Linked DNA regions of Astyanax mexicanus. The protein of the gene in region 3 binds, or shares a complex with, the protein of the main gene of each other region. Links are inferred from orthologs where the notes say so. Each region holds a gene or a part of one and is shown on either strand. Other genes may lie near its edges.

Region 1 (7,781 bases), on a different chromosome or scaffold from region 3:
TATAAATGTATGATACCAATCAGCTATAACATTAAAAACACTACCAGTGTTTTTCGCTAATTTATTAAAAAAGAAAAACTAAAATGTCACTTTGCTGTGACACTCATATTTAACATTTCTTCTGATCTTACTAGAGATGTCTCTTCTTCATTGGAGTCCAGATGTGTTCAGTTAAACTAATTGGACTTGATGAGGAAAGGCACACACCTGTCTATATAAGACCTCACAGCTCACAGTGCAGTCAGAGCAAATGAAAATCATTAGGCCGAAGGAACTGCCTAAGGAGCTCAGAGACAAAATTGTGGCGAGGCACAGATCTGGCCAAAGTTACAAAAGAATTTTGGCCGTATTCAAGGTTCCTAAGAGTACAGTGGCCTCCATAATCCTTGTATGGAAGACGTTTAGGAAGACCAGAACTGTTCCTAGACCTGGCTGTCCAGCCAAACTGAGCAATCATTGGAGAAGAGCCTTGGTGAAAGAGGTAAAGAAGAACCCAAAGATCACTGTGGCTGAGCTCCAGGGATGCAGTGGTATGTGTGGAGAAAACCAGGCACTACTCCTCACCTGCCCAATAGAACCCCAACAGCGAAACATGGTGGTGGCAGTATTATGCTATGAAGGTGTTTTTCAGCTACATGTACAGGATAACTGGTTGCAGATGAAGGCAGCCAAGTACAAGGAAAACATCTTCCAGAGTCCTCTGGGCCGAAGGTTCACCTTCCAACAAGACAATGACCCTAAGCACACACCTTAAATAACAAAGGAGTGGCTTCGGAACAGCTCTGTGACCATTCTTGATGACCTAAACCCAATTGAGCATCTCTGGAGAGACAGAGACCTGAAATTGTAAAAACTTGAGAAGATCTGCAAGGATGAATGGCAGAGGATCCCCAAATCCAGGTGTTAAAAACTTGTTAGATCATTCCCGAAAAGTCTCATGGCTGTTCTAGCTCAAAAGGGTGCCTTTACTCAATCTTGAGCAAAGGGTCTGAATACTTATGACCATGTAATATTTCAGATTTTCTTTTTTAATAAATTTGCAAAAATGTCTAAATTTCTTTCTATCAAGGTGGGGTGCTGAGTGTACATTAATGAAAATAAAGTAAAATGGCTGCAAAGAAACAAAGAGTGAAAATTTTAAAGGGGTCTGAATACTTTCCGTACCCACTGTATATATTAGGCGGGAACAGTTTGTTCTTAAAGTGGATGTGTTAAAGCAGGAAAAATGGACAAGCGTAAGAATCTGAGACACTTTAACAAAAACTAAACTTTAAAGTTCTAGACAATGCCTGGGTCAGAACATTTCCAGAACATCAAGCAGGTCTTGTGGGGTGTTCCTGGAATGCAGTGCTTAAACCCTGGCAAAAGTATCCAAGAAAAGACATTCACAATGGCATGAAAATATTATTTTAAATGTTCTCAGAAAGTTTTTTAGAACATTCCTTAAACATTCAGTTGTGAAGGTTAGTGAACATTTTCATAATTTTGGAAAGACGTTCTTATTAGGAAAAAAAGTAGCAACCTTCCCACAACCAAAATGGAACATTAGGAGAATATTCTGGAAATGTCTTTAAATGTTCTCAGAATGTTCTCAGAAATGGTCTGAAAATGTCCAAGTATAATCCAATTCCTTGAACAATAGATTGTCATTGTAAATGACACGTTGAGGTGACTTTCTGGGAACGTTCTCATAACTTTGGAAAAACATTTTGGGAATGTTACGAGGTAACATTCTACAAAGCTAAGCTAATTGTAGTTTAGATTACATTAACATGGAGCAGTCCCACAAACAAAGTGGAATGTTGGAGGAACATTCTGAGAATGTAATTTAAAATGTTTTGAAAACATTCTGAGGTACAACATTCCTAGTACAATACAGCATTTCTAGGACAATAAATTGCCATTGCAAGTAAGGTTGGGGTAAAATAACTTTAGAAAGACATTCTGGGAACATTAAGAATACTGGACATTAATCTGTTGCAAGTACAATGACATGCAACATTCCCACAACCAAAATGGAACTTTTTAAGAATGTAATTTTGAATGTTCTGACTAAGAATGTTCCTAGGATGTTAAACTATCATTGTAAATAAGGTTCAGATAATATTCTGGGAACATTAGTATGCAATATTCCCACATCCAGATATAAAATGTCCCAATACGTTTGTCCATATGGTGTGCACAAAGTACACACTGTTGTATTGATGATATAATAACTGAACAAATCCTCTACGGTGACACACTTCTGTGCATTTCAATACACAATTACTGTTTATTTGTTGAATTGAACAAATGATTAAAATATGAAATACTGTAAAATCTGGCATGTGCAAAGATTCTAATAGGTTAAATTCAGCACATGAACAGTAATTATGTATTAAAATGCACAGAAGCTTAGGGAAATATTTACACATTACTAATTCATTCAACAGCTCCACCAGCACAGAGGCCTAAATCTCATACCTGAGCGCCCTCTTGTGTCTGAGCACTCTGTTAAATTCCAGTGAGAGGCTCTCATTTCTGAATAGCAGTGTTATATAGAACAGTTGTGTGTCTGGGTGCCCTGGTGAGCTGGCATTGTGCTGTTTGTGAACTAAATCTGAATGAGTTTGATCCACACACTGATCCTGGATCCAACTATGTGGTAAATCCTACTATTCTCACAAATCCAGTTCAAGATCAGCTTCTGTTCACAGGGTTAGAGGGTCCCCAGGTAACAAAAAACATTATAAAAATGTTTAGATTAGACAACATTAACATAAGTTATTTGATCAAGTTTAATGCCTAATATCAGGTGTGGGCTAGAGGGTATAAAGCCCCTAGTATTGATCTGTGGAGCAGTGGAACTGTGTTCTCTGGAATGATGGAGCTCCATCTAATACTAATAGATGGGATAAGTTAAGGAGTTGGGGATTAGGTAGGGTGGTGATCATTCAACATCCTAACTCAGGGGTGTTCAAACTTTTTTTGTTGGGGGCCAGAAGGAGAAATATATTTGAAGTCACTTGCCACACTCCGTAATAAAACAAATAATGAAATATACCACTTTAAATAATACTTTTTTCCTGATTATTTCATTTACACACCATTTTACTTGACTTACTATCTTTATATTTGACAGTGTTGTGTAAACTAAGATTTTTTAAATTGATGTTTAATTTCTTGATTTCTCTTAAAATTAAACTCCTTAATTACGGCAACTTTTAGACTCTTTGGCCTGGTTTTCTGCGCTAGAAATGCGCACCCTCTCCGCTTTTAGACTCTTTGGCCCCGTTTTTCTGCGCTTGAAATTTGCACTCTCTCCGCTTTTAGACTCTTTGCCCCATTTTTCTGCGCTAGAAATGCGCACTCTCTCCACTTTTAGACTCTTTGGACTGTTTTTTCTGCGCTAGAAATGCGCACTCTCTCCGCTTTTAGACTCTTTGCCCCATTTTTCTGCGCCAGAAATGCGCACCCTCTCCGCTTTTAGACTCTTTGCCCCGTTTTTCTGCGCTAGAAATGCGCACCCTCTCCGCTTTTAGACTCTTTGGCCTGTTTTTTCTGCGCTAAAAATGCGCACTCTCTCCGCTTTTAGACTCTTTTGCCCCGTTTTTCTGTGCTTGAAATGCACACTCTTTCCGCTTTTAGACTCTTTTGCCCCGTTTTTCTGCGCTAGAAACGCGCACCCTCTCCACTTTTAGACTCTTTGCCCTGTTTTTCTGCGCTAAAACTTCACTCTCTCTGCTTTTAGACTCTTTGGCCCGTTTCTGACACCTAGCGTTCAAACTTAGGTTCTCACATTATAAAAACCTGCTTAACAGCGGGCCAACTTTCATTCTATTTCTAAAACACCTCGCGGGCCGCTCCATAAAAGGAAACGGGCCGCAAAAATATATATATATATATATATATATATATATATATATATATTAGGGGTGTCAACGTTAACGCACGCTGTTAATTTGTAATCAATAACGCGTTTTTTAACGCAAGTTAATTAAGGCGCCAAGTTCGACTCCTACTTCCGCCATAATCTGCCCCGCCCCTGCCCAGCACACTGATCTGTTTTCTGGCTGAACGACTGAACAGTCATACGGTGTCCAGCAGTAACACTCCGGTTCAGACTTCCAGCTCAGACCTGGTTAGAGTTCTCTCTCTCTCATATACTCTCTCATATAAGTTAATTACAGAATTTTGTTGTGATTAATCGGATTTTTTTTAATCGATTGACACCACTATGTGTGTGTGTGTATAGAGAGAGAGAGAGAGAGAGAGAGAGAGCGCTCTGGAAAAAAAAAAATTAAGAGACCACTTCAAAGTAATCAGTTTTTCTGATTTTGTTTTCTACAGGTTTATGTTTGAATAAAATGAACATTGTGGTTTTATTATATAAACTATTGATGACATTTCTTCCAAATTCCAAATAAAAATATTGTAATTTATTTGCAGAAAATGGGAAATGGTTAAAATAACGAAAAAGACGCAGATCTTTCAAACCTTACAGAAGTTCATATTTATTTAGAAACAGTAACAATGCTAAAGTTTTATCTAAGGAAAAGTTCAGAATCAATAATTTGTAGAATAACCATAATTACAGCTTTAATGTGTGTTGGCATTCTCGCCACAAGTCTTTCACACTGCCTTTGGGCGACTTTATGCTTTATGCCACTCAAAAATGGCTCAAAAATTCCAGCAGTTCAGCTTGGGTTGATGGTTTGTGATCATCCATCCATCTTCCTCTTGATTACATTCCATAGGTTTTCAGTGGGGTTGAGCTGGGGGCCGCTGGGGGCAGCAGAGAGCGGGAGCAGGTTGGAGTAAAAGCGGTGAAGGAGAGGAAGAAACAGAGAAGGCGCAAATCCCGCGGCACGAGCTCAGCATGGATTGGTAAATGAATCAATAATCAGTGATTAACAGCGCTGATATTATTATTAATCAGATTTATTAATATTTCGCCTCTCAAACTTAGATTACAACCACTGTACAGGCTGAGCTTCTGCACCAGTACCAAGTTAACTTAACTGTTAGCGATTAGCATGCAGTGCTAAGCTAACTAGCCTAATTGACTGTACTGTACTGTGGGTCTGAGCTCAGACTAATCATCACTGTTTATTTGTTTACTTATTTATCAGTCTGCATGTTTTACTCCTGTACTGCAGCTGTGCTGTGAAGGGGTCTGTATCCACCTAAAATCTGTAGCACTACAGAACTACAGCACAGAGCAGTAATTTCAGCTTTATAGAAGAAGCTGTCAGTTACAGATAGTTTAGATTAAAGTTGAGTTTTCTATAACTTATATTCCACTGATTGTAAATAATTGTTTCATATATAGTGATTGAGTAGAGTTTGGTGTATAACTAATTTAATATTCTGTGACTTTATTAATGTTAAATCTTTACAGCGAGAGGATCAGAATAGATGTAACGTTATTAGTTAAGTGGAATAAGTGACTCCTCATTCTATTATTATATGCAAGTTAAAGGGCCTATACCTGATTCTCGTTTGATATACAAACAGAAACATGTAGGGATTCACCTGATGTTGGGGAAATTAAATGGCTAATTTGGCCAAAAATGACACAAAACAGAAACACTTTCAGTGTTTTTGTTGTGCATTGTGGACATATCTGCTGGGATGTTAAAAATGTTAAGTGCTTAAGTGTTGAAGAGTAACTGTTTATTATACTTTGGGTGTATTGACAAATATCTTTCAGTTATGATTACTTATCTTAGTATCTATAATTACATAATCATTGTGTGAAACCTTGTATTTTATATGCATTAACCAATACTCACCTTACATTTGATCATTTTTACTCACAGTGTATTTTACACGCAATTATATAGAAGATTAACCAATAATCACAATATATTCTTTACATATATAGTAAAACATTGTTTGATCAGGCATGTGACTAACACAGACTCTATTATATGACAAATTAACCCACATGATACATAAGGCATTTACTAACACATAGGATTTATTATATGGCGGACTAACCACGCGTTACTAACACATTAACATATAACATATGAAATCTATTGTGTGACTATTGCGTAGCTCATGCTTGAAGCATTTCGTTCACTGCATGACCCTAACTAACGGTCATCAACTCGACTGGTACACTCGGTAAGAGACTACATTTCTACAGAGGAGGCTTTTAGATCAAAGCGGCCTTCTGTGTGTGGGGGAACCTGCAGCGGCTTCAAAGAGGGGGGTGACGCACACTCACACAGATAGTGCCACGATGTTCCATTCTGGAAGAACACAGTCAAGGCCAAACACTAGTGGTCCGGTCAGACCTGTGAAACTTGAGTACTAACACGTGAAATTATGCATATTAACATGAGCTAATCGTTAGCAACGCCTCATCAGCAGGTTTCACGTCATTTGGGGTATAAAACATGGAGTCAGATCAGAGGGGGGTCAGAACTTATGCTGGGACGGCTGTTAGACGGTCTTTCATGTGTGGGTTCTCCTGAATATTCAGTACTTTGTAATAAATACTTGGTTTGCTTTCAACTTCACTCCACCTGTCTGACTCTCTCTATCAAACGAACACGCAGGGGAGTTGTACCCCGGTCGAGAGGGAGGTGTTGACCCACCTTTCATTTTCTTTTCTACAACAGTGTTCATACATATTCGTAAATTTTAGGTTTGTTATTGCTTTTGACTTTTAATTAAAAGCCTGTATCACACTTTTTTATGTATTTAATTTGTTCTGTAATTGACATTTGACATTTTGGTTTTGGATTTAAAATGAATATTTTAGCCAAAAATGGCAAAATACAAAACTCTTTAGGTGTTCAGCTGAATAAGCCTGAATATTTTTTTCTGAGTGTAAAATTTTAATAAATATTTTTAAGTTGTAAATTTAGGACAAAATATATTCAGACAATTTAATTAATTAATTAAAACCTGTGAATAAATGTTTTATTTATTTATTTGTTCTTTGACCAATTGATAATTTTGGTATTGTTTGTTTTGGTTTGGTTTTATCCAAAAATGTTCACTTTGGTACAACCTTACATAAAATTGAACAGACCTTGCAACAGATTTTATATAAGGCTGCAAAGTCATTTATATGGACAGCAGTGAGGATTGTGCATATTCAAATTTGAACACTGTTACTGTAGAGCATACTGGAAATAGCATTCATCAAAAATAGAGAAGTTTTGTTTGCCAATACATAGACCCTGTAAGTAAAAATATTTTTGGCAGCTTGGGAGTGCTAGGACCTGTTTCCTTAAATCAGGGTGTTAAGATCATGTGAACTGGTCAAGAGAGTTATGATTTGATCCATTTTTTGCTTTTGAGATGCTTTTTAGATCTTAAAATCTGTACAGTTCAGTGTAATATTGATGTTGCCACCATATGCATTATATTAGTAATATATTCGATAATAATTTGCAGATCCAAATGCTTATGTATTTTCCCTGTTGTTTTCTTGTAGGAGCCAGAACTGGTTGAACTCTCCTGTTGTTCGAGACTCGGAGGTGACTCGAGCCGCACGCAGGAAAAGCTCACACAAAAAGGTGGCCTGTATCCTTACCTAAATTTACTGGACTTTGGCTGCTCAGATTGCAGAGCCTGCAGCTGAAGTGACCACTTGCTTTATTTTTCCACTTGGTTAGATTTTGTATAAATCTCTTATCCTCCAGAGCTCATGCAGTCAAACCTCTGCCATGAACCCTCGTCTCAATATTTCTCATCAGGTGTTAAATGTGTCTTGCAAGACTTTAAGTTTGCTTTGTGTGTTTCAATTCTTTACACCATCACTTCCCCAACCTCACTTACTT
Region 2 (7,092 bases), on a different chromosome or scaffold from region 3:
CTTGGCTCTGTCTCTCATCCTGCAGTACTGTCTTTAGTGTGTTACGAGTCCCTCTGTAGTCCTCTTGCAGGTAACACTGCAGAATCTGCACACTCTGCTGTTCATCAAGACCCTGGGGCAAACAGACACACTCATTTATTAAAGGTCACATATTTTACACTATTCTCTGAATTCCACTCACATACCACAATAGTCAAAGCATAATTTCATACAACAATTTTTTAAACCCTTTTTATCCTTTAGAATATCCTTTTACTGTTCTGTATTGTGCCGCTTTTAAAAAGCACTCACATTTTACTACATAGTTTACACATATATACTGTAATAGATTCAGAATGATCAGTTTTACTGGAGCAAATACTGAATTAAGCACTGGCTTCTTTAAAAAAACAAAAATATAATTTATTTTCACAACCTTCCTCAAATGAGACAAATGGTCATAATTCAGGCACCTGGTCTATATGCAACTTTAAACTGAGCTCTTCCTCATCACTCTTCTGTATACTGCATTGTAGTATAGTGTCATTATGGTGCAAAAGAAGTTGCTTTACTTACCAGTAATTTGCTGATGCGAAGTGCAAAGTCTTTAAGAGTTTGAGCCACATCTTTATTCACTTTCAGCTTGTCTGCTGATGAAGAACTGAACAGAAAAAAACAGTGTTTCACTAATTAAAATACATAACTACTGACTGACCACAGCTAAAAAAAAATAAACATAACTAACAGGCCTATGCAAAACAAATGTCTACTTACGGAATATTAAAAAGATTATTTGAGTATTAATAATGATCTATATCTGTCTACCAACCTGTGTATTATAATAAACAATGTGGGCTTGCATTTGCTTACCTAGGTGGTTTGTAGTAGGAAAGGCCCTGCAGCAGCCGTTCTCCATTTCTCTCCAATTCTGCTTCTATCTGGGCCTTTTATATCATACAGCAGAGGAAAAATAAGATGGTTTAATTAACAAAATGCCAGACACACACGAACACACATCAGACACAATATTATATTTACTCTTAAATATTGTGTATTGCAGAAGATCCTTTATGTAACCTTCATGAACATCTATGAGCCATAAACACCCATGAACTTGTCTTTCCTTGAAGCACTTTTAGTAAGTACTGACCAATGCAAATCCTAAATACCTTGCTGCTTTTTAAAATGTACTGACCTAAATCATGTACTCATCACAATCTGGCCCTTAGGATTCTTACACTTTTTCTTTACATTTTTTCCTGCTTCAACACATCGTCTTCAAAAACTGGTCGTCACTTGCTGCTTAATATGTTGACACGTGCCAGTGGAACTAAATGAGTGATTTTCAATCTAAACAATTGTTTTTTTTTTTTTGGTATGATAAATGTATATGTAAATAAATGTTCATAAAAATTTAAGTTACCGGTTCCCGCAAAGCAGATCTTCCAAGTAAGATGGTCCACAACTCCCGACTACTCCTACAAATCAAAACACAGTCTGTATATAAATTTATTCTCAGTGAAACACTTCAGCTTTCAGTGTGCCATGTAGATGGTAACTCACTTAAAACACTTAGTACAGTTTGTACAATCTGGACACTTAACTGCTTATGTACTTTAATGTATTCTAAATTAAATGTGTCTCCTAAGAATTATTTTCACATTTTGTAGTTGTACATTTATTTAGCGAACTGATTTCTACACAAACAAGTCATAGTTTGAAAACATTTTTAAACTTGAAAACCTTTTTTTAAATTAACGCGTTAAAAAACATAGATCTACTGAAACTAGAGCTGGGCAATATTGAAAAAAAATATTATTTAAATATATGAGTGATTCTCGATTACAATTTTTAGTTCTTACATAACTTTATTTTTAAACAAACACCAAATTATTGTTTCATTTACATTTAAATTCTAATTATTTATTTTATTTCTTTTTTTATACAAAACTACATGCAGGTTTTGTATTAAACATGGTGTAAAACATTAAAATGACAATATTGTTTTTGTGATTTGTAAACAGGCAGTATACACGTCTCTAAAGCATCACAAATCTTTATTTATTATGAATATTAGTATTAACTAGGGATGCAACGAAATTAAACATTTTCCTCGGGTTTTTATTATTTTATTTGACACTTTACCATTATAGACCGTGTGTATTTTTGCCTTGATTTCCAATAAATAGTTTATAATTTATAGAACATTTATTGACATGCCAACACAGCACAGTGCATTTACCTCAGCAGTGCTACTCTAGTCACACATTTGGCTAAACTACCCTACCTGCTGGTTTATTGAGGCAGCATAACCTATAAATATGTATTGTGTTAGTTAGCATGAATTGACAAGGCAGCACAAATCGACAGAGCACCGGTTGTATTCACCAGCACTGCTGGATAAGCTACCACAATCAAAACCTCATCATATTATGTTGTTTCTCAATGTTTACCACAGTGTTTCAGCCCGGCTGTGAAGCCCTGAGCCTAGCTGAGGGTTTAAAGCGCCAAAATCAGAAGTTAGTGAAGTTATCAGCGCTGCTACTCAGCCAACCCAACTCAGAAAGATATAAACTATCCGCACAGTTTAAACAACGCCTCCGGAGTACACTGCCTTGGTTTTTTTTAGTCGTGTAAAGTCCTAAAAGGCTTGTCTTAACTCTTAAATCTGTTTAATTCGTGTTTTATATTGTTCTATTAACACAGACGCCGCTTTTAGCATTCATGCTAACGTTATTTCAGCGCGGCCACATAACAACATGCTCCCACCGCGTCCCTGACTATTAACCTAAAAAAAAGCGTTAAAATGAAGAACAGAGCGCTCTCCGCTCCTCGCTTGCCTGTGAATAAACCGTATATGATTAAACAACTTGAATGAAAATGTTAACAGCTTATATTTAATTAATTTAAACACTAAAAGTTAATGTTTCTTTCATTTACCTCGCACACATCTCCGACTCCGCCATCTTCGCCGCCGTACTGTGACCAATGAGAGCGCGGCGTTTGCTCACGTGACATTATTCGTTAAATTTCGTGATGTTTTGAAAAATATTAATATTATTAAATCGAAACCCCTATAAATATAATTTGTCTGGTGATATTAATAATTTTTAAATTGTTAAAAGTGTTTTCCAAATAAAACAAAAAAATAATAATAATAATGCTTCATCCCACGTGACCCAGCTGTCAAATATGGCCGCCCCCCCACCCGTGTTCGGAGCTCGACATCGATCACATATCATCAGCAAAGATCTCGGTAGCGGTGAAACGCGGACAGATCCTCTCCCCTCGGGTCTCCGGTAAGGCTGGTCGTGTTTGTCTCTGTATGATCTGTATCTGTATGATGTGGATGTTCTCGCTTCTTGTCCTTCGTGGAGGTTCTGCTGCTGCTTCCAGAGGGGCAGATCATCATAATGGCCCCAACAAAGGCTGTTCACCACCTCTCGGCCACTGATCAGATCAATCAGACTGATCAGTCTGGTTCGTTTTTTTTTTTTGTATCCCGAAATCCATGTTTCATATTCAGCAGGTTTCTGCTCATATCCATCTTTATGTATCTGCAGCTTTATACAGCATGTGGGCATGACTGGGTGCTAACCTGCCCTTGTATTGGATACTGTATTTATACGCAAAGCTAATCACCTTAAAGGAGAACTCCAATTGTTTATCAATACGTCTGTATGGTTTAGTCTTAGTGTAAAATGTGAACAGTGTTATCCAAAACACTGTTTTAATGTAAAATGGTCCACTGCCCAAAGATTTGCCATTCCAAATGTATGCACAGTGTTGGGTGAATGGATCCACCAGCTAGCTAAGGCATAGCCAGTCTGTTTAGTATCTATTTAGCTAAAATGTCTAGTAAAAATTAAGAGACCACTTCAGTTTCTGAATAATTCTGAATAATGCAAAGAAAACACTCTTAAAAATGTTAGGAGTTCAGGGATCAGTATTTGGTGGAATAACTGTGGTTTTTAATCACAGTTTTCATGCATCTTGGCATGTTCTCCTCCACCAGTCTTACACACTGCTTTTGAATAAATTTATGCCACTTCTGGTGCAAAAAATCAAGCAGGTCGGCTTGGTTTGATGGCTTGTGATCATCCATCTTCCTCTTGATTATATTCCAGAGTTTTTAAATTTGGTAAAAACTCATCATTTTAAGTGGTCTCTTATTATTTCCAGAGCTGTATTTTGTTTAGCAATAACTAATCTATAACCATTCAGATGTATGTTTTTTTTTTAGTATTTGATGTGCCCCTGTGATTTTTTTGAGTTGAAGGTTTGTCAAAACGTTAAGGTAGGCTAGAGAAATCCTCAGAAGACCTTTTCTGCCTGTTACTCCAAACTAATGTATTATTAATTACAGTGTAATACTATAGCACTGTGTTTGCACAGACTGTACTATAATTAGGGCTGAGCGATATTGTAAAAAATAGTTATAATAATCTTGATATTCTTCAAGTATTTGAACAATTTTTTTATTTCTTACTCTCGATTTTTTTCTTTTACATAACAACTTCAGTTGTTTTATTTTTAAACAGACAGTACAATTTAAAGTGATGCTCAAGCTAAATTTCATATATATATATATATATATATATATATATATATATATATATATATATATATATATATATATATATATATAAATAATTTCATTTATGCAGCTTTTATATTTTAAACAAAGTGACAACATATCGTCCTGGTATTTCAATTAAGGAAAAGTGTAAAATAGGAAAATTACTGCCACGTAAAAGAGTTCTTTAAAGGTTTCTGACATAAGCAAATTTCTATCTACTGAGATTCCCTCTGGCAGCTTTATTAATTAAGGATATCTTGATTAACCCATTTTGAAAATCCCTTTAAAACAGTAATTCGATTAATCAAATGAATTAGATTAACCTCCCAGCCCTCATGTGAAATAACAAACAGATTCAGAGCTTTTAGACCTCAAATCTGGAGTTCTAAATGTGCTCCGGTAACTGTGCTAAAGTTCAGCTGCTACAGTTCAGAGTTGAGTCATCTGAGTTTGGTATCTGCCTGATCGTTACAACAACTTCCTGTTGGTTTTCCCTGATAATGTAGGCTTAAAAAAACCCAAAATTAGGGTGCAGATTAGGCACAGAACTGGGTAAATTATAGGGCCTGGTCAATCAAAACGTTAGCAATGAGATAGCGTGGTATAAATAGTGTACAATAGTGTAATTATTTAAATTTTAAGTGGATTGGTACCAACTCATGACTTATGACCTCCGAAGTAATAGGAACAGCAGTGTTTACTATAGCTAAGCTAGCTGCTAACATGCTGCTGTAAATTTTCACTTATTGAAAGACTATTGACAACAATGAAAAGGAAACTTAATAACCTATTATGATAATATACAAATGATTTTTCATATACATATGAAAAATAATTACTCCAGTAAAGTATAGATAATCCAAATTTCAAAAGTAAGGTAACAAAGTATTTGTACTGCGTGACTCCTCTTATAATATAACCTGTAATAAAAATGATAAAGAAAATTTTGTTACGCAAGTATAACTATCGAGTTATATTGTGATATTAAGTAACCAGGGAGCAGTGATGGTTACAGGCATTGCTGAACCACAGAACTGCCACTGTTGTATCACACATTCCCACATATTAAAATTGAATGGGAATGAAAGAATGTGGGTCTTAACATGATATATTTTTATAGAGGCTGTCAGTGCTAAGCTAGCTGCTAAAAAAAAGTAAAACTACATTATGATATAAAATCTAGCCTTTAAGACCTGTAGTAAATTATTTACTGTTGTATGCAAAACTTACATTTACAGTAAATTGTACTGTGATAAATATATCCTTCTTTAGAGGCTATCATCACTGTTTTAAGACAATGATCCCTTGATTAAAGAACAACTGCACATTTCATTACAGAGAGTGTAAATATACTGGTAAATTGAATCATGTGCAGCAGAAATTGTACATAAATCACTGTACTCTGCATGAAAAAGTATCTGAATATCGCCGCTGTCCAATGAAAAACACAATCAATTTTTGTTGATTTTTAGTTTACTACATAATTTGATCAGACAAACTGCCCCTTATACCGTGCCAAAATTTCTTGATGAACGGACCAATAGAAACTCTTCAGATGACCTGGAATATACTCTTTTTACATTGACTTCCATTAAAAGTTTAGAAGGTTTTTCCTCTCCTGTAAAGTTGCTGGTTTCAATAAAGTTTTTTAAGAATCTGCCACTCCTGGTGCATTTTTTCAGCAATTCAATCAAAACACGATAAATACTATGCATCATAAGATTATCTTTTAATACTGTGACATAATATTTTGCCATATCGCCCAGCTTAATCATTGCGTGATTGTGTACACTAATGACCTTGGCTTTTATGCTGTTCATATTGATATCGGAATTATATATTTTTGACTGAAATTAAGACATATGTTGTGATTTTAAAATTAAGTCTATATTGTCCAACATTATATTTACATGGAAATATGTTACTTCAGCTTATACTACGATTGTCACGCCTGACTCTGTCAATCTGCCTGCTCCTGAAGGCTCTCTGCCTAAAGACTCAGTTTCACAATGATTAAAGATGATATAAATGTTGCTAATGCTATGCTAGCTGCAAATTCATTAGCAATTTTTTTTACACAAGACCTGTTACAAAAACATGCTAAAGCATAATAATTGATAATTGATAACTGGCTTACAGGAATGATAAGTGTAAATTTAACTGTAGATCGTTAATACATTTAAAAAATGCTAGCCTGAAGATTGCATTTTACACCATTTACATCATTACAAGCTAAAGCTGCTAACATGCTAAAGGGAATGGTTTGTGTGGTTCTAACCAGAGATCTGTTTTGATGTGTCTCTTTCAGGTCCTGAATGCTGGTAGAAGGTGGAGCGGAATGCACTGGGGATGCTGAACTCTAAACAAATGAGACTTTGACAGATCTAAAAGCTGCAAAGTCTTGAAGCAAGTGCTACATTCTAGGAAGTCCTAGGAAACTTCTCCAATTCTAGTACGCACACCCATATCGCACAATCATGCAGACAGACCCGGTCTTGGTGGAGTCCATGGTGGTCTTTTCCATTGTGCTGTGT
Region 3 (7,719 bases):
AGGGAAAATCTTCAACACTGTACTGTACCGGGTTTTTGAACAAAGACAGAAAGTAGGGCTTGTTTTTTTTCAACTGCAAATCCAGAAGATGAACACTTTCTGGTTGTTTCCTCCATATTGAGCCCTCCACAGTCTCCCATAACTCTTTCAGTGGACCCCACAGACTGGCTCCTGCACAGGAAATACATCCACACAAGCCGTAAACCAACATGTAACAACACTTTCTCAGTTATACTGTAAGAATACCACAAAAGAAAGGTCTCTAATACACAATAGGCATAGCAAGCACAACTTCACAGAGCTAAACAAAGTGTATACTGTTACAAATTCTACAGGTATTTATTTAGCAGATGAATAAATAAAAAACAAAAACAATAATCCTATATGACTTAAAAAAAGATTACTAAATAGTGGACTAATAAAGAATTACAGAAATACACTTTGGGAATGTGTGCCTTATCAAGTCAAGGCCTTTAACTGCTTTATACTAAACAAAATTCTGCATTACATATACTATGGCATAATTCATGCATTATATAAATCACACAACATACACACACTCTTCTAGTCAGTCTGCTAGAATCTAAGAAAGGTAACCAACTGCCCAATAACTTTGTTAAAATTACTGTAAAAACATTAGTAGACATCAAGCATTTCCTGAAGCTACTAAATATTTTTTCATTTTTCTCTCATAATCTATCTGTCTGTTCTCTCAATTTAGCAGTTTATTACCTCAATTTAACAAACTGTTTCTTTAATTTAAAAACATTCCCTCAATTTTACAGTTTCTTTAAATTAACAAACAATTCCTTCAATTTAATAAACTGTTCCTTTAATTTAACAGTTCCTTCAGTTTAACAAACAGTTTCCTCAATTTAACAAATTGTTCCCTCAATTTAACAAATCGTTCCCTCAATTTAACAATTCCTTCAATTTAACAAACTGTTCCCTCAATTTAACAATTCCTTCAATTTAACAAACAGTTTCCTCAATTAAACACAGTTTCCTCCATTTAGCAAACAGTTCCCTCAATTTAACAAATCATTCCCTCAATTTAACAAACCGTTCCCTCAATTTAACAATTCCTTCAATTTACAAACTGTTCCCTCAAATTAACAAACAGTTCCCTCAATTTAACAAAAAGTTCTCAAATTAACAAACAGTTCCCTCAATTTAACAAACGGTTCCCTCAATTTAACAAAAAGTTCTCAAATTAACAAACAGTTCCCTCAATTTAACAAACGGTTCCCTCAATTTAACAAAAAGTTCTCAAATTAACAAACAGTTCCCTCAATTTAACAAACGGTTCCCTCAATTTAACAAAAAGTTCTCAAATTAACAAACAGTTCCCTCAATTTAACAAAAAGTCCCCTCAATTTAAACCATTTCTTTAATTTAACAGTTGCCTCAATTTACCAAAAACTGTTCCCTCAATTTAAAAAAAGTTACTTCAATTTAACAAACTTTCCCTTAATTATACACAGTTTCTTCAATTTAACAAACTGTTCCCTTAGTTTGTGAGTTTAACAAACGGTTTCTTCAATTTACCACAGCTTCTTTAATTTAACAGTTGCCTCAATTCTACAAACCTTACATTCAATTCTACAGTTTCTTCAATTTAACAAACTGTTCCTCTCTATTTAACAAACAGTTCCATCAAATTAACAAACCTTTCCCTCAGTTTAACAAACAATTCCCTTCTCCAAATTATATTAAAACATTCTCTCCCTTTAGTGATGTTCGTCTTTAACTGAATAATCTATTAGTTTAGAAAGGGTACTTTGGTTTCTCCAAAAACTATTTTTCCATCCTTATATTTAGGGACTTACTGTTTCAGATTTGCAGGCCTGTAACGCTAACCTAGGTCATTTAACTATTCTGTAGTGGAATAATGAAAACAATTAGCATTAGCTACAATTAGTTTAATTCTGAGGCCAGAGAGTTCTGTCGATTCCTGCTCACAACAAAATCACCTGTTATATTAAACCAGATGATGGTGTTTAAAAAGTTATCTGGGTGCTGTTAGACGCAGACTCAGTTCTCTGAACTTTGAGCATTATTTAGTTAACTAAGAGCGAAAGTATTTTTTACACCAGACTGAGCCAAGCTAAGCTTGCGTTAGTAACCAGCCGCCAGATATATCTAGGCTATATTCAGGGGGTTGCTGTTAACAAAAGCCGGGGAATTCTGTTAGTTTAGACGTGGATAGAGGTGAGTATAATAGGCGTGTTGGTGAATAACTGTGTTTATTTGACTGTAGGAGGCTGATAATTATGAGAACAGCGCTGTTTAACAGCTTAACAGCTAACCCCGGTGTTCTGTCGAGTTGTGCTACCCTGTAAAACCGTGCTACCCTTTTTAGTATAACTTATTTAAACGTAAAAATGCCAAAAAGGCACAAAATTATAACATGTTCACAGCAGAAGTCGATGTAACGTTACTTTTTTTGAACAGCATAATTCACTGTATCAGTGTAAAGTTATGGTAATGTGAGTTTTTTATAATCTTGCTTGTGTTTTTTATAATCTTTTATTATTATTATTATTATTATTATTATTACTTGCAAATACACTTGTGTAGTGACAGTGAGTACTGGTTGTTAAATACACAACAAAAACAGAATTATTATAAAACACACGAGAAATCATTAAAAAGATGTAGGTTAACGCATGCGCAGTCTCTTTAGGAGGCTTGTATAGCTGGGTAGCATAACTCGACACAACACCGGGTAATGGAACCAAACTGAACTCAAGAAACAGGCAGAACTGCCTTCATATGCAGCTTCAGTCGCTCATGAATCTCCCTAAACCGATCCCACAGCTTTACAGACTGTTATAATAAACAAACTACAAACACACACAGCCCTGAGGAGTGTTGAATAACCAGCACATGAGCTCCGTACCTGAATTTACCGCCATCTGCGCAGCCATGTCTGCTCCACCACCACCAGCCCAGCCGCAGCCTCCCGGCTTATCGCCAGACTGAAAATTATATACGGTTTCGGATCACTGCGTGCCAAGCAGGAGATGGTTCTATACTTTAAACTCTCTATTCTTTTTTAAACATGCTCAATTACACCTTCTTAAAAATAAGTGTGAAACAAATTATAGTTTTTCGAAATCGATTTTCTCTCAGGCGATTAACCGGGAGTCCAAGTGTCGAAATGGCGGTTTGTAGTTTTAAGAGGATTTTGAAGTTAATTTTGTAAATTAATCTCAAACTGAATTAATTTTAATCACCTTCATGTTCAGTTTCCAATAAATGTAATATTAAACACTCATCTTCAGACTACAGTTTAATTTACTGGACAAAATTGAGCTTCTGCTAGATCGAAGCAAATTAAACGACTGATTCATCTATTTGACTCACTGAGTCATTGATGTGAATCCAATATGAATCTTTTCTGAATACAGGCTTGTGTAGGGTCACAAATAGTATTTATGGCATTATAAATGATAAATGATTATGTCCCAACTAATTATTATTTGACACTAGTTAAGACATTATTAAACATTATTAAATTATTTAAAATGTATTGCTTATTTTTAAAATAATTATTAATAATTATTTAAAAAAATGTAATGATGAGTAATGTCTTAACTAGTGTCAGATAATAATTGTTTGAGGCATTCCGTCATAAGTACTGTTAATTTAGGTACCCTTATTGTGTTACCCAATTTTTGGTTAGTACACCATGCCTTTAATATTTCACACACAATCTCCAAACAGTGCAATAAACATGATAAAAAGTTATGTAAATGACATAAAATCTGTTAAAATTAGTTTATCATACTTTTTCACTGGCTCTAGTGCTGCCAATCCCTAATGTCTGGGTTGCGGTGTTTTTTCCAGTGCAGTGGGCGGGGCTGCTGTTTCATTGGGTTGTAAACCTTTTCTTTGGCTGATTAATGGTCTATTTTGATGGACAACAGGTCTACAAAAAAATAAAATATTGGATGTCTATTGTTATGCACGCAGGGTTTGAAAGGGTTATGTATGTTATAAATAACATATAATATATAAATAACTTTAAATGTTTTTGTATTCTTGCTCTAAAACATCTGATGCAAATGATATGTTTATTATAAAAGACAAAATAAATAAAATTGTTTAGGACTCTCAAGCTCCCATATAACATATGAAATATATTATACATGCCATAAAGGTTTAATACTTAAAAGATCTGTACTTTAAATAAGCCATAGACCTAAGATAAGTAAATACATATCAATACAGTACCAGCCAAACGTTTGAACACACCTTCTCATTCAATGTTTTTCTTTAATTAATTTTCTACATTGTTGATTAATATTACAGACATCAAAACAGTGAGATGGGTAAAAAGCAGCAACTATTGTTCAGCACTTCCAAAAACTCCTTCAAGACACTGAGAAAACTATTCCAGGTGACTCTCCCTCATAAAGACGTGAGAGTAAAATACAAAGTGTGCAGATCTGTCCTCAAAGATAAATGTGCTACTTAGAAGAATCCATAATCTAGAAGTATAAATATACTAGCTGTAATGTTTTCAATATTAAATTTACAATGTAAAAAAATAATAATAAACACATTGAATGAAAAGAGGTGTGTCCAAACTTTTGACTGGTACTGTATATTATGAACACCATTAATTAATCCAGCCAAGTTTCATTTATGTGTCAAAGTAAGTGCATTAACAAGACTCGTTTCTGTGAAAGTGAAACTGAAGAATGCAGTAAAAAGAAGCATTGAGAAGATAAAGCCATAAACAATAGATGTATTAAAATTTTACATCATTGAAAGGGAACATTTTTTAACCTTCATATTTACATCTTTATGGAAGAGTTGGATAAGGCATATTTACTTAAGTAGTCTAATAATCAAAAGAACATTAGATGGATTCTGAAGTGGGTATCGTCTCTGATTGCAGCACTGTGGAACTTACACAATGGTGCCACCTAGGGTATTTAAAAAGCACTTTTTGACAAGCATCCAAAAGGAAGGTTTAGCAACTACAAGTTAAACATTTCTCTTCTGTTCACGAGACATGTTTAGTGTCCAAAGGTCTACTTCTTCTGCAGTACTGGCTCAGCAGTTAAAGTACTAAGATGTTGCTCACCGGCTTGTGGTCCTAAGCTACTCACTGCTGGGCTTCTATACATGACATATAATTGTCCTTTTTAATTACTTAAATTATTAAAGTTAACACAAATGAGAAATTTGGTACCGCTTAAGCTGATAAAAAGAACGGTTGAGATACACAATACACAAAGTTAACTGAGCTGATTCAATAGAGCTATACTGACTGCAGTTGCCAAATTGTTGTAGTTACATATGGTCACCTTAAGACTGTCTTATATTTTGATGGTGCAACCTTGATGAGACAATAAACCTTTTCCTTTAACTCTATTTGCATACTGGGTATGTCTTTCCCCACTTTTACTTACCATCAAGGTGTAGTCATTCCCCCCCGGCTCCCTTACCTGTGGTGCTGCTGCCTGGCCTCAGTTTTGAAGGCTGTAAGGGCAATTTAAGACTTACTCTACTGTTGAAAGTGGCTTTATGTTGGCTGAATGCTTTACGTGATGCAGAATTATGGTTACCTGACAGATTTGTATCAGTACATGTACTGGACTCCAGCCTCTGTTTAGGTTTTACTGTTTATATTCAGGTCTTTGTGAATGATCTGAGTGGGTGGAAATAAGACAAACATCACATCATCAACATGACAAAATAATATTTATTAAAAGAAGTTTTTCTGAATTAAAGGGAGCACGAGTGGTTGGGCATTGGCTCAAATCTATACATTAGACTGTGAGTCTTCAATACTGAACTAACAAAAAATGCATTTCTTTCCTAGACCTTCCTGATTGCACTCAACAATTACTACTCAGGTGTGGAAAAAAATACAAGAGTGCCTCAACACAGTGTTCTACACCATTGCAACTAAACTGTATTTATAACAAATTTATTTGTAAAAAAAGAAAAACAAAAATATTCAAAAACACACCAACCTAGTTCTAGTATTGCTTAAAATAGATGTAGCTTAGAAGGAGTGCACAGATATGAAGATTAAAACAACAAAATAAAGCAAACATCTGTACATCACAGCCAAAGGTTGAACTGTTGAGAATCCATATTCATATTTTTTTCTTTCTTTTTTTCTGATCATCAACCAAAAGGAGGGTATAAAGTCCTCATAAAACCCCTCATCATCAGCATCATTCCAAGGCAAAACTGAAAAAAACAAACACTTATTTAGGCTTGCACAAGTCCATCCAGTGTCCCTCTAAACTTGAATTTCTGAAAATAAGTTAAAAAAGAAAACAAGAAACAGCAGAAAAAATAAAAATAAAGATAAGCTAAAGAAAGAGAGAGATAGAAAACGAATTGGAAAAACTCTGCGTGTGTTCTGTCCGTCCTGCCATGTAAGTCCACCAAAGCCCGCCATCCAGCCAACCAGCCAGTGACGGGGAGACTGTGCCTTTGTGTCTGAGTGCGCATTTTTCATTTCAATCCCTCTGTTTGCTGCCGGTGTTTAGGGGTTAGGGTAAGTGAATACTGGTCGTGTCTGCAGGTCGGCAATAGGAACCATTCACGGTTTTCACAGGAACACAGGGAGCAGGAACACCAGGGAATCCCCACAAATCTGCAGTCCGGTTGCCATGCTTTCATGTGCCATGGACTCGTTTAAACCCCCCATAGTGTGTCTAGGTGGTGCGCTCCTGTTCGTCCACCTCCTGCTTGGTTCTTCTTAGATTGCTCTTCATTTTAACAAATTCCGGGGTGTTCTCCTGCTCCTCCTCATTCTTCTGCTGCTCCAACTCCAGCTACAGACACAAATACACAGAAAGATGTTTTACAGTCTGAACATCTGCATGTTGGGTTTCTTGGTTGTAGTTTGTGTTATGCATTGTGGAAAAAGGGGTTCACCCAGGAAGTAACCCCATCTACTGTACTACTTCAATAAGAGCGCTAAGAACTTTCACTAGACTGTGACACCCGACAATCCAGACACACTCTGCACTGCTGTCACAATAAAACTCCAAAAATGGCAACTTTAAATGAGAAAAAGAAAAAAAATGGAAGTCTTTCTAAAATAATTTTTAAACATTTTTATTGGATTATTTATCATGAAAAACCTACAAATTTTGAGATACAAGGTTCTTTAAAATAGCAACAGAATGTACACTGAAATGCATAAAGTCATGGGATATTAAATGAGGTGTACACTTGTGTGCTCATGGGAACGCAAAAGTGTATTTGTTTTGCCAAGATCTATTTGTAGTTTAAAAGTTTAGTAGTAGACTAGTGGTAGATCTCCATGCAGTATGCTGGAATGTCAGACTGCCTGTAGAATTGACGCAAGAACATTTTTGATTTATACTCATTTATAACACTGTAACATAAAGGATAAAGTAAAACAGTTTGTTCCAGTGATCTGGCGTGTATGTACCTGTTCAAGTTTTTGTTGTCTCTTCATGAGCTCAATTTCCAAATCTGATTGCTTCTTATGAGCTTCCTGCTCTTCCTTCTGAGCTTTCAGCACCTGGTCTCTCTTCCTCTTCTCCATCACTTTCTGCAGCTCGGGCTTGTTCTGAGGTGCCAGGCCCCTGCAGAGAGGAAACAGGCCACACACACATAGGATTTATGAGAAAACTCATACACATGGATTAGGTCAAAACAGGCAGATGCAGGCCTAAAATCCATGACAGCAGCTATGACGTTGAGTAGCATCAG
Region 4 (7,772 bases), on a different chromosome or scaffold from region 3:
TCTTTTTACCCTCCATCACAGTCGTCTGACGCTTTGTGCTATTCTGTTGCTGCATTTAATTTGATCGCTTCAGAAAAGACCACTGGTGGACGCAACCAACTCAAACATTTGGGAGAGGAGAATTCCCTCAGATGGTTAAACCCGACGTAGGGGCTGTGTTGTCAGACGAATAGAGAGTGCATAGTTGAATGGCAATGAATGCAAGAATAAGATTAGAGAAGTGAGGGTAAATAATTTTTTTCCGTCCAACCGGCCCAAACTCGCCCCGGCCCATCGGGAATCCTCCCGATTAGCCACTCCGGGCTTGTTTAAATAATTTATTAATTCAATATAATAATAATTATATCAATATAATAATAATAATAATAATAATAATAATAATAATAATAATAATAATAATATCAAATTATATTAATAATAATAATAGTAATAATAAAAGTGTGTGTGTGTGTGCAGTTTTAAAAAAATCTACAAAATATTCAGAATGCTAACTAAAATAGAATATGTCAAAATAATGTCAATATTATTATTATTATTATTATTATTATTATTATTATTATTATTATTATTATTATTATTATTATTATTATTATTATTACCATTATCCTATATTAGACTGTACTATTTATTTTATTAAAAATGTTTATTCTTTAAATTAATAAAATATTTCAGTTACTGTCACCAAGAACATTATTATAAACACACCCTGTAGCTAAATGGCCTACAAAGTACTACAGTATATTAAGCTAACTAAAATAGAATATGTCAACATCTAATAATACGTACTTGTAACTTTCTGACAGGTAATATTCTCACTCTAATGGTAACCTAATCCTAATCAAATATTATATACAGTTATCTTTCACTAGTGGCATCAAATATTTTCTAAGGTGATGTTATCGTAAAACAGTACTGAGGGAGCTGTGCTGAGCTGTGAAATGGTAAATTCATGTGCGTTGTGTCTGACCCGTGTGTGTAAACCTGTGTAAGGAGAATGAAAATTAAGATTTGTGCAAAAGAAACACTCATTCATAAATTCGTCAATTAAATTCTGAACGACGGAATTAATGCGTTGCTAAAATATATCATAGAACCACAGCCATACTTGAAGTAGCATAGAAAATGAATGTGGCTCATTTTAGACCCACGCTGCCCGTTTGAGCGGCAGCGATACAAAAAGGGCTTTTATTTAAAAAGTAAGAAAGCAAAAAATAATATAAGGATGTACCATGATCAAAAACAATTTAATTAAGGAATACCTTGAATACTGAATGATTCGGAATATTACGATCTCATAGTGAACAGTTTTTTTTTTTAAGAGTGACCCTAAAACGTATAGAATCTCTACACAGATCTGCTAAATGTGTTGCTGGATTTTGTGTGTCCGGTTGATTTCCTAATTTCTCAATTTATGCATTCATTCTGTATGCTGTGGTGGTCTCTGTATTGCGCGTTTTATTAAAATCCCCAATGCCTTCGAGAGAGAGTGTGTGTGTGTGTGTGTGTTGGCTGGCTCAGGTCTTGCGGCATCAGACAAATTAAACATGATTACTAAATAGGCCAGCAATGAAAGAGTTGATAAAAAATAAGTACATTTGATTACATTTTGTTATGTTTTAATCAGGGACTACATTTTGCAAAGCCCAGTTTAGCCAGAAATACATGAATCTAGCACATCTAATAACACAGCAGACATTTGAAGCACTTGGGGGCTTTTATTTTAACAGGAGATATAGTTCCCTGACAGAGTCAGAGGGCTGAACTGCTTGGAGAAGGAGGGGATATGTATATTCTGTCCGTTTTTGCATATGGAACGCCTGGAGGCGTTATGAAAACGCGTGGTGGCGTTATGTAAGCGCCTGGCGCCGCCACACGCTCTTAAACGCCTGGCGGCGCCTCGCGTTTGTTCCAAGGCGTAAAAGTAAGCCCTGCACGGCGTTTTGGACGGCGTTTTTTAAGTATTTCGCACGCTTTAAGCGCCGTCAGACCCAGGCGAATTCTGACCCATTTGGCTTGCCATATTACAGTGATATGATCAGCCCACCTTTAAACAGTAGTTACAAGCCTTTAAATCATTAACACAATATCCAAACACTTTAAACTACACTAAAGAGCACGTGCTGTTATTTTGTGTGAAACTTAAGTTTAGAGTTTGATCTGTTAATTCACTTCTTAACCAGCATCCAAAAATATTAAACTCCCGTTAAAATTAACCATCTTTCTTTAGAGAAAAATCACTAGGACCTCAGAGTCAATAAACTAGTAGATTTATTTAGCACTAACTTAGCCAGTTTAGCTTAGCTTAGCCAAGGTGATCCGTTGAGTTCTGCTAAAATCGATATGGGCTGCTCAGCAGCTGTTAGAATTCATACATTTACAGCCTTTAAAGTTTTCAGGTGTTTTTCATTATAATTCACTTTTTCCTTGGTACATTATACAATCTGAGCCTACTGACAAGGCAACACAAAGCCACAGACCTACCTAGCCAACATATTAGCGCCCATTCCACCATTAGAGATATTTACATTTTCCATTTAGAACTGTGCACAAGTTGTTATTGCTAGCTATCAGTCAAAATGGCAGATGACAGACATGCTGAATGAGGAGTCCAGCCACTTACTGGAATAGGAATGGGAGTTCTAGTAACCCTCAACCCCAGCTGCTTTATGGATAAGTCTCGCCCTTCAACAAAAAGAGCCAATCAGCTTGCTGGATGTGCCAGAGCAGAGGAGGGTGATCTGTGCAACTGCAGTAGCCAGAACAATCTGAAAAATTATGTTTTTTGTGCATTGTTGAGCCAAACGCTACAAACTGTTCATGAGGTTTGTATCAGATTTTATCAGTGATGTCAAATCTGTTTTTTGTATCAAGACTGGGTCCTTGACAGAAAAAATATCAACGTGCTGTAAAGGCTAAAAGTACCACAGCATAAGAGACTCTAACCTCACACAAATCTAAACTACCTCACACACCTAAAACCCACCCTCACATCCTAACCTCACAAACACCTAAACTACTTCACACACCCTAACCTGTTACACCTAACACACACTCTAACCTCACACACCCTAACCACTTACACCTAAAAAAACACACCCTAACCTCACACACCTTAACCACTTACACCTAAAAAACACACACCCTAACCTCACACACCTTAACCACTTACACCTAAAAAACACACACTCTAACCTCACACACCCTAACCACTTACACCTAAAAAACACACACCCTAACCTCACACACCTTAACCACTTACACCTAAAAAACACACACTCTAACCTCACACACCCTAACCACTTACACCTAAAAAACACACACTAACCTCACACACCCTAACCCTTTACACCTTAAAAACAAACACCCTAACCTCACACACCTTAACCACTTACACCTAAAAAACACACACACCCTAACCTCACACAAATCTAAACTACCTCACACACCTAAAACCCACCCTCACATCCTAACCTCACAAACACCTAAACTACTTCACACACCCTAACCTGTTACACCTAAAAAACACACACTCTAACCTCACACACCCTAACCACTTACACCTAAAAAACACACACTCTAACCTCACACACCCTAACCACTTACACCTAAAAAACACACACTCTAACCTCACACACCCTAACCACTTACACCTAAAAAACACACACTCTGACCTCACACACCCTAACCACTTACACCTAAAAAACACACACTCTAACCTCACACACCCTCACACACCCTAACCACTTAAACCTAAAAAACACACACCCTAACCTCACACACCTTAACCACTTACACCTAAAAAACACACACACCCTAACCTCACACAAATCTAAATTACCTCACACACCTAAAACCCACCCTCACATCCTAACCTCACAAACACCTAAACTACTTCACACACCCTAACCTGTTACACCTAAAAAACACACACTCTAACCTCACACACCCTAACCACTTACACCTAAAAAACACACACTCTAACCTCACACACCCTAACCACTTACACCTAAAAAACACACACCCTAACCTCACACACCCTAACCACTTACACCTAAAAAAAACACACCCTAACCTCACACACCCTAACCCTTTACACCTAAAAAACACACACCCTAACCTCACACACCTAAACCACTTACACCTAAAAAACACACACTCTAACCTCACACACCCTAACCTTTTACACCTAAAAAACACACACCCTAACCTCACACACACCTAAACTACCTTACACACCCTAACCACTTACACCTAAAAAACACACACCCTAACCTCACACACCCTAACCACTTACACCTAAAAAACACACACCTAAACTACCTTACACACCCTAACCACTTACACCTGAAAGACACACACCTAAACTACCTTACACACCCTAACCACTTACACCTGAAACACACACACACCCTAACCTCACACACACCTAAACTACCTCACACAACCTAACCTTACAAACACCTAAAAAATACACTCCCTAAACTCTTAAACCTAAAAAAAACACACACCCTAACCTCACACACACCTAAACTACCTCACACACCCTGACCTCTTACACCTAAAAAAAAACACACACCCTAACCTCACACACACCTAAACTACCTCACACACCCTGACCTCTTACACCTAAAAAAAACACACACCCTAACCTCACACACACCTAAACTTCCTCACACACCTAAACCTCTCCCATCTTAACCTCCCCTTACACACTTAAACACCCTCTCACATCTAAATTTCCCCTCACACACATATAAACCACCCCTGACACCTAACCCCCTCTCACACACATAACCCATTCCTCTTACACACATAAACCATCCCTTATACACACCTAAATCCCCAACACACATCTAACCACTCCTAACAGTGACCACAACCCCCTCATGCACCTAAACCACTCTTAACAGACCTAACTCCCCGCACACACCTAAACCACTCCTAACAGACCTAAATCCCCGCACACACCTAAACCACTCCTAACAGACCTAACTCCCCGCACATACCTAAACCACTCCTAACAGACCTAAATCCCCGCACACACCTAAACCACTCTTAACAGACCTAACTCCCCGCACACACCTAAACCACACACACTTTAACGACCTTACATACCTAAACCACCCCTAACACACACCTGCACCACCCAACACACCTAAACCTTACACACCTGAACCCCACTAACACCCCCCTAAATCCACTAACATACCTAAACTAAACCAGACACATCTAAACCACACACCCAAACCACAACCCCCTCACACATCTAAACCACACACCTAACACACTGCTAAAACAGACCAAAACCCCCTCACACATCTAAACCACACCAACACACAAAAAGCCCACAGTTAAACCATCTTACACACATGAACCTCACACTTATCTAAACCACCCCCACACATAAACATCCCACACCTAAACCACCCTTCACGCAAACAATAACCTCACACACTCCTAAATCATACATAAAACCTCACACACCTAAACCACCACCCTCCACACTCTAACCACCTTACACACCTAAACCACCCCTCACACAAACAGTAACCTCACACACCTAAACCTCAGATGCACCTAAACCAGCCACCTCCACACTTTAACCCCCTCACACACACCTACATCACACCTAACACACAAACCTACACTTAAATGACCCCTAACACACAAATTTCACATGCCTAAACCACCCCACATACCTACTAAACCTCACACGCCTAGACCCCCTCACACACTTAAACCACCCCTCACACGCACCAAACACACTACCTCACACACCTAAAACCCACTCTCACATCCTAACCTCTTACACCTAAAAATAACACACACCTAAACTACCTCACACACCCTAACCTTTTATACCTTAAAATATACCCTAGCCTCACAAACACCACCTAAACTACCTAACACACCTACAAAAACACACACCTTAACTACCTCACACACCCTAATCTCTTACACCTAAAAAACACACACCTAAACTTCCTCACACACACCTAAACTACCTCACACACCCTAATCTCTTACACCTAAAAAACACACACCCTAACCTCACATACATCTAAACTTCCTCACACACTCACACCCTAACCTCACAAACACCTAAACTACCTTACACACCCTAACCTTACAAACACCTAAACCACACACACGTAAACCTCACACACAAACCACCCCAATACACAAAAAGCCCACACAGTTAAACCACCTAACACATAAACCTCACACATACCTAAACCACCCCCACACAAACAGTAACCTCACACACATTTAAACCTCACACACTCCTAACACACACCTCAGCCTCACACACACATTTAAACCTCACACACTTAAACCACCCCCACACACACCTAAACCTCACACACATCTAAACCACCTTACACATCTAAACCTCACACACATAAACCTCTCTCTCACACACACCCACGTGTTCATTGCTCTCTATGATCATAAACGCGCAGTATTTTCAACATTTAACACGAATTTGCAGTAAATTCGTCTGAAAACATGGCGTGCGCGTGCACGAGCGATGCGCACCACCGACATTCTGTACAGGTTTCGCGCATTCGTGACGTCGCCGCTCGCGCCCCTCAGCAACCATCCTGCCGTACAGAGCGGGTGCGCGCACGTTCGCCCGTGGTCGCGCCCCAGCCGCTGTGGCTGTGAAACGAGGGGGTGTCGAGCGCGCGCACGAATGCTCTAGAATGGCGATGATGGGGGGAGGGGAGGGGAGGGTTGCGCGCGTACGAGCGCGTGTACGTGCGCGTGCACGGCGGGAGTCTCTTTGTGCGGGCGGCGAGAAATAACACACAATAACGATGGCGGACGAGAAGCCCAAGGTGAGAGAGAATTAAAATTAATATAATAACAATAATCATAAAATAATTCGCAAATCACACAGAAGATACGGCATGAAGGAAAAAGAAGAATAGAGTGATGGAGAATTAATGGAGAGTTTGTGTGTAGAATAATTCCGCGTAGTGGATAAATACTGCAACTGCTGTTGTAGAATCGCCGGAAGAGTCGTGAACGCGCATTTAGCACGTTAGCTAACATGCTAGCCAGCAGCGCGGGTTCAAGCAGCGTAATGAATGTACGGGTGCTGGTTCGGGTTTACAGCACAATTCTGTGAAATGCGGGAAAACACGGACCTTATTTAAGCGCTGATGTGTTAAGAGTAGTAGAGAGGTACAGTCTGAGAACTTGGGCTTTGTTTTTAAGCCGGTTTGAAGACTTTTATAGCAGAACAGCCGCCCAGCTGCGGGTCGGTGTCTGCAGGCTGCGCTGTGTGGAGCGCTGGAGTCTGGAGAAGTGGAACAGACTGAGAACATGTGTCGATTCTGAGCCAGATATTCACATTAACACCATCATCAGTCCTCCACGCGTCTGTGTGTATACACACTAACCAACCACACATCTGCTGCGATTAATCACGACATGTTTTCTTCATAACACTGAAACCTTTAATAAAAAGTTAAACACAGTAAGATTTTTACATACAATACCATTTAAAAGTAGCCAAATTCAGAAAGTCTACACACTCTTTGTAATTTAATCTGAGCTTTTTCCTGAGGTAGAGTCACCTGGGATAGTCTTCTTAACAACTTGAAGGAGATCCTAGAGGTGCTAAACAACCCCAAATCACCCTTCTTGTGGGGGCCAAACACGTTTGTTTTTACTGTTTACTACCTAATTCCAAATCTGTCCCTTAATTGTTTCTACAATGTAGAAAATAATTGAATTAAGTAAATAAAACTGTTAAAATAAGT

What was found. Proteins that work in one complex are often made in the same cells at the same time.
Region 1: the proteins of nup205 (region 3) and nup107 are in contact, whole or in part, in a cryo-EM structure (PDB 7WB4), measured with the Xenopus laevis proteins. The link is inferred for Astyanax mexicanus from reciprocal best matches to the Homo sapiens genes NUP205 and NUP107. Residues at the interface, in XP_041443600.1 of Xenopus laevis: Gly1247, Gln1248, Arg1249, Pro1250, Ser1458, Arg1506, Gln1507, Leu1983, His1991, Gln1995; in NP_001091312.1 of Xenopus laevis: Gln134, Glu136, Pro189, Tyr282, Tyr283, Gln770, Ser772, Phe773, Thr774.
Region 2: nup205 (region 3) and nup188 share a complex: the UniProt entries of both Homo sapiens proteins name them as parts of the nuclear pore complex. The link is inferred for Astyanax mexicanus from reciprocal best matches to the Homo sapiens genes NUP205 and NUP188.
Region 4: the proteins of nup205 (region 3) and nup85 are in contact, whole or in part, in a cryo-EM structure (PDB 7TDZ), measured with the Xenopus laevis proteins. The link is inferred for Astyanax mexicanus from reciprocal best matches to the Homo sapiens genes NUP205 and NUP85. Residues at the interface, in XP_041443600.1 of Xenopus laevis: Glu1477, Cys1480, Arg1481, Cys1484, Asp1485, Ser1517, Gly1518, Tyr1519, Leu1520, Lys1521, Val1522, Val1524, Asp1525, Ser1574, Gly1575, Gln1582, Gln1638, Gly1641, Gln1642, Gln1645, Val1648, Leu1690, Asp1691, Ile1692, Gly1693, Leu1694, Asn1695, Asp1696, Gly1697, Ser1698; in XP_041431608.1 of Xenopus laevis: Ala86, Glu87, Glu88, Ala89, Ser90, Gly91, Lys92, Ser93, Arg94, Lys95, Pro156, Pro239, Met240, Gly245, Thr246, Gln247, Thr248, Leu249, Thr250, Glu251, Phe252, Glu253, Leu254, Lys255, Trp256, Gln257, His258, Trp259, Pro315.

What each region holds. Positions count from the first base shown.
Region 1 is NC_064409.1:23,502,998-23,510,778, reverse strand, and holds the start of nup107 (nuclear pore complex protein Nup107), read left to right. Parts: upstream 1-4,762; 5' UTR 4,763-4,858; coding exon 4,859-4,866; intron 4,867-7,435; coding exon 7,436-7,524; intron 7,525-7,781. UniProt on the Homo sapiens protein: Plays a role in the nuclear pore complex (NPC) assembly and/or maintenance. Required for the assembly of peripheral proteins into the NPC. May anchor NUP62 to the NPC. Involved in nephrogenesis.
Region 2 is NC_064424.1:26,879,658-26,886,749, forward strand, and holds the start of nup188 (nucleoporin NUP188), read right to left. Parts: upstream 3,020-7,092; 5' UTR 2,946-3,019; coding exon 2,920-2,945; intron 1,458-2,919; coding exon 1,403-1,457; intron 924-1,402; coding exon 850-923; intron 641-849; coding exon 556-640; intron 113-555; coding exon 1-112. Other genes in the region: dolk (dolichol kinase), read left to right, coding at 7,036-7,092. UniProt on the Homo sapiens protein: Component of the nuclear pore complex (NPC), a complex required for the trafficking across the nuclear envelope. Required for proper protein transport into the nucleus.
Region 3 is NC_064416.1:18,026,258-18,033,976, reverse strand, and holds the start of nup205 (nuclear pore complex protein Nup205), read right to left. Parts: upstream 3,008-7,719; 5' UTR 2,931-3,007; coding exon 2,903-2,930; intron 172-2,902; coding exon 29-171; intron 1-28. Other genes in the region: protein FAM107B, read right to left, coding at 6,690-6,809, 7,436-7,592. UniProt on the Homo sapiens protein: Plays a role in the nuclear pore complex (NPC) assembly and/or maintenance. May anchor NUP62 and other nucleoporins, but not NUP153 and TPR, to the NPC.
Region 4 is NC_064410.1:17,649,904-17,657,675, reverse strand, and holds the start of nup85 (nuclear pore complex protein Nup85), read right to left. Parts: upstream 3,020-7,772; 5' UTR 2,621-3,019; intron 2,572-2,620; exon of another isoform or gene 2,482-2,571; intron 1-2,481. Other genes in the region: sumo2b (small ubiquitin-related modifier 2), read left to right, coding at 6,822-6,842. UniProt on the Homo sapiens protein: Essential component of the nuclear pore complex (NPC) that seems to be required for NPC assembly and maintenance. As part of the NPC Nup107-160 subcomplex plays a role in RNA export and in tethering NUP96/Nup98 and NUP153 to the nucleus.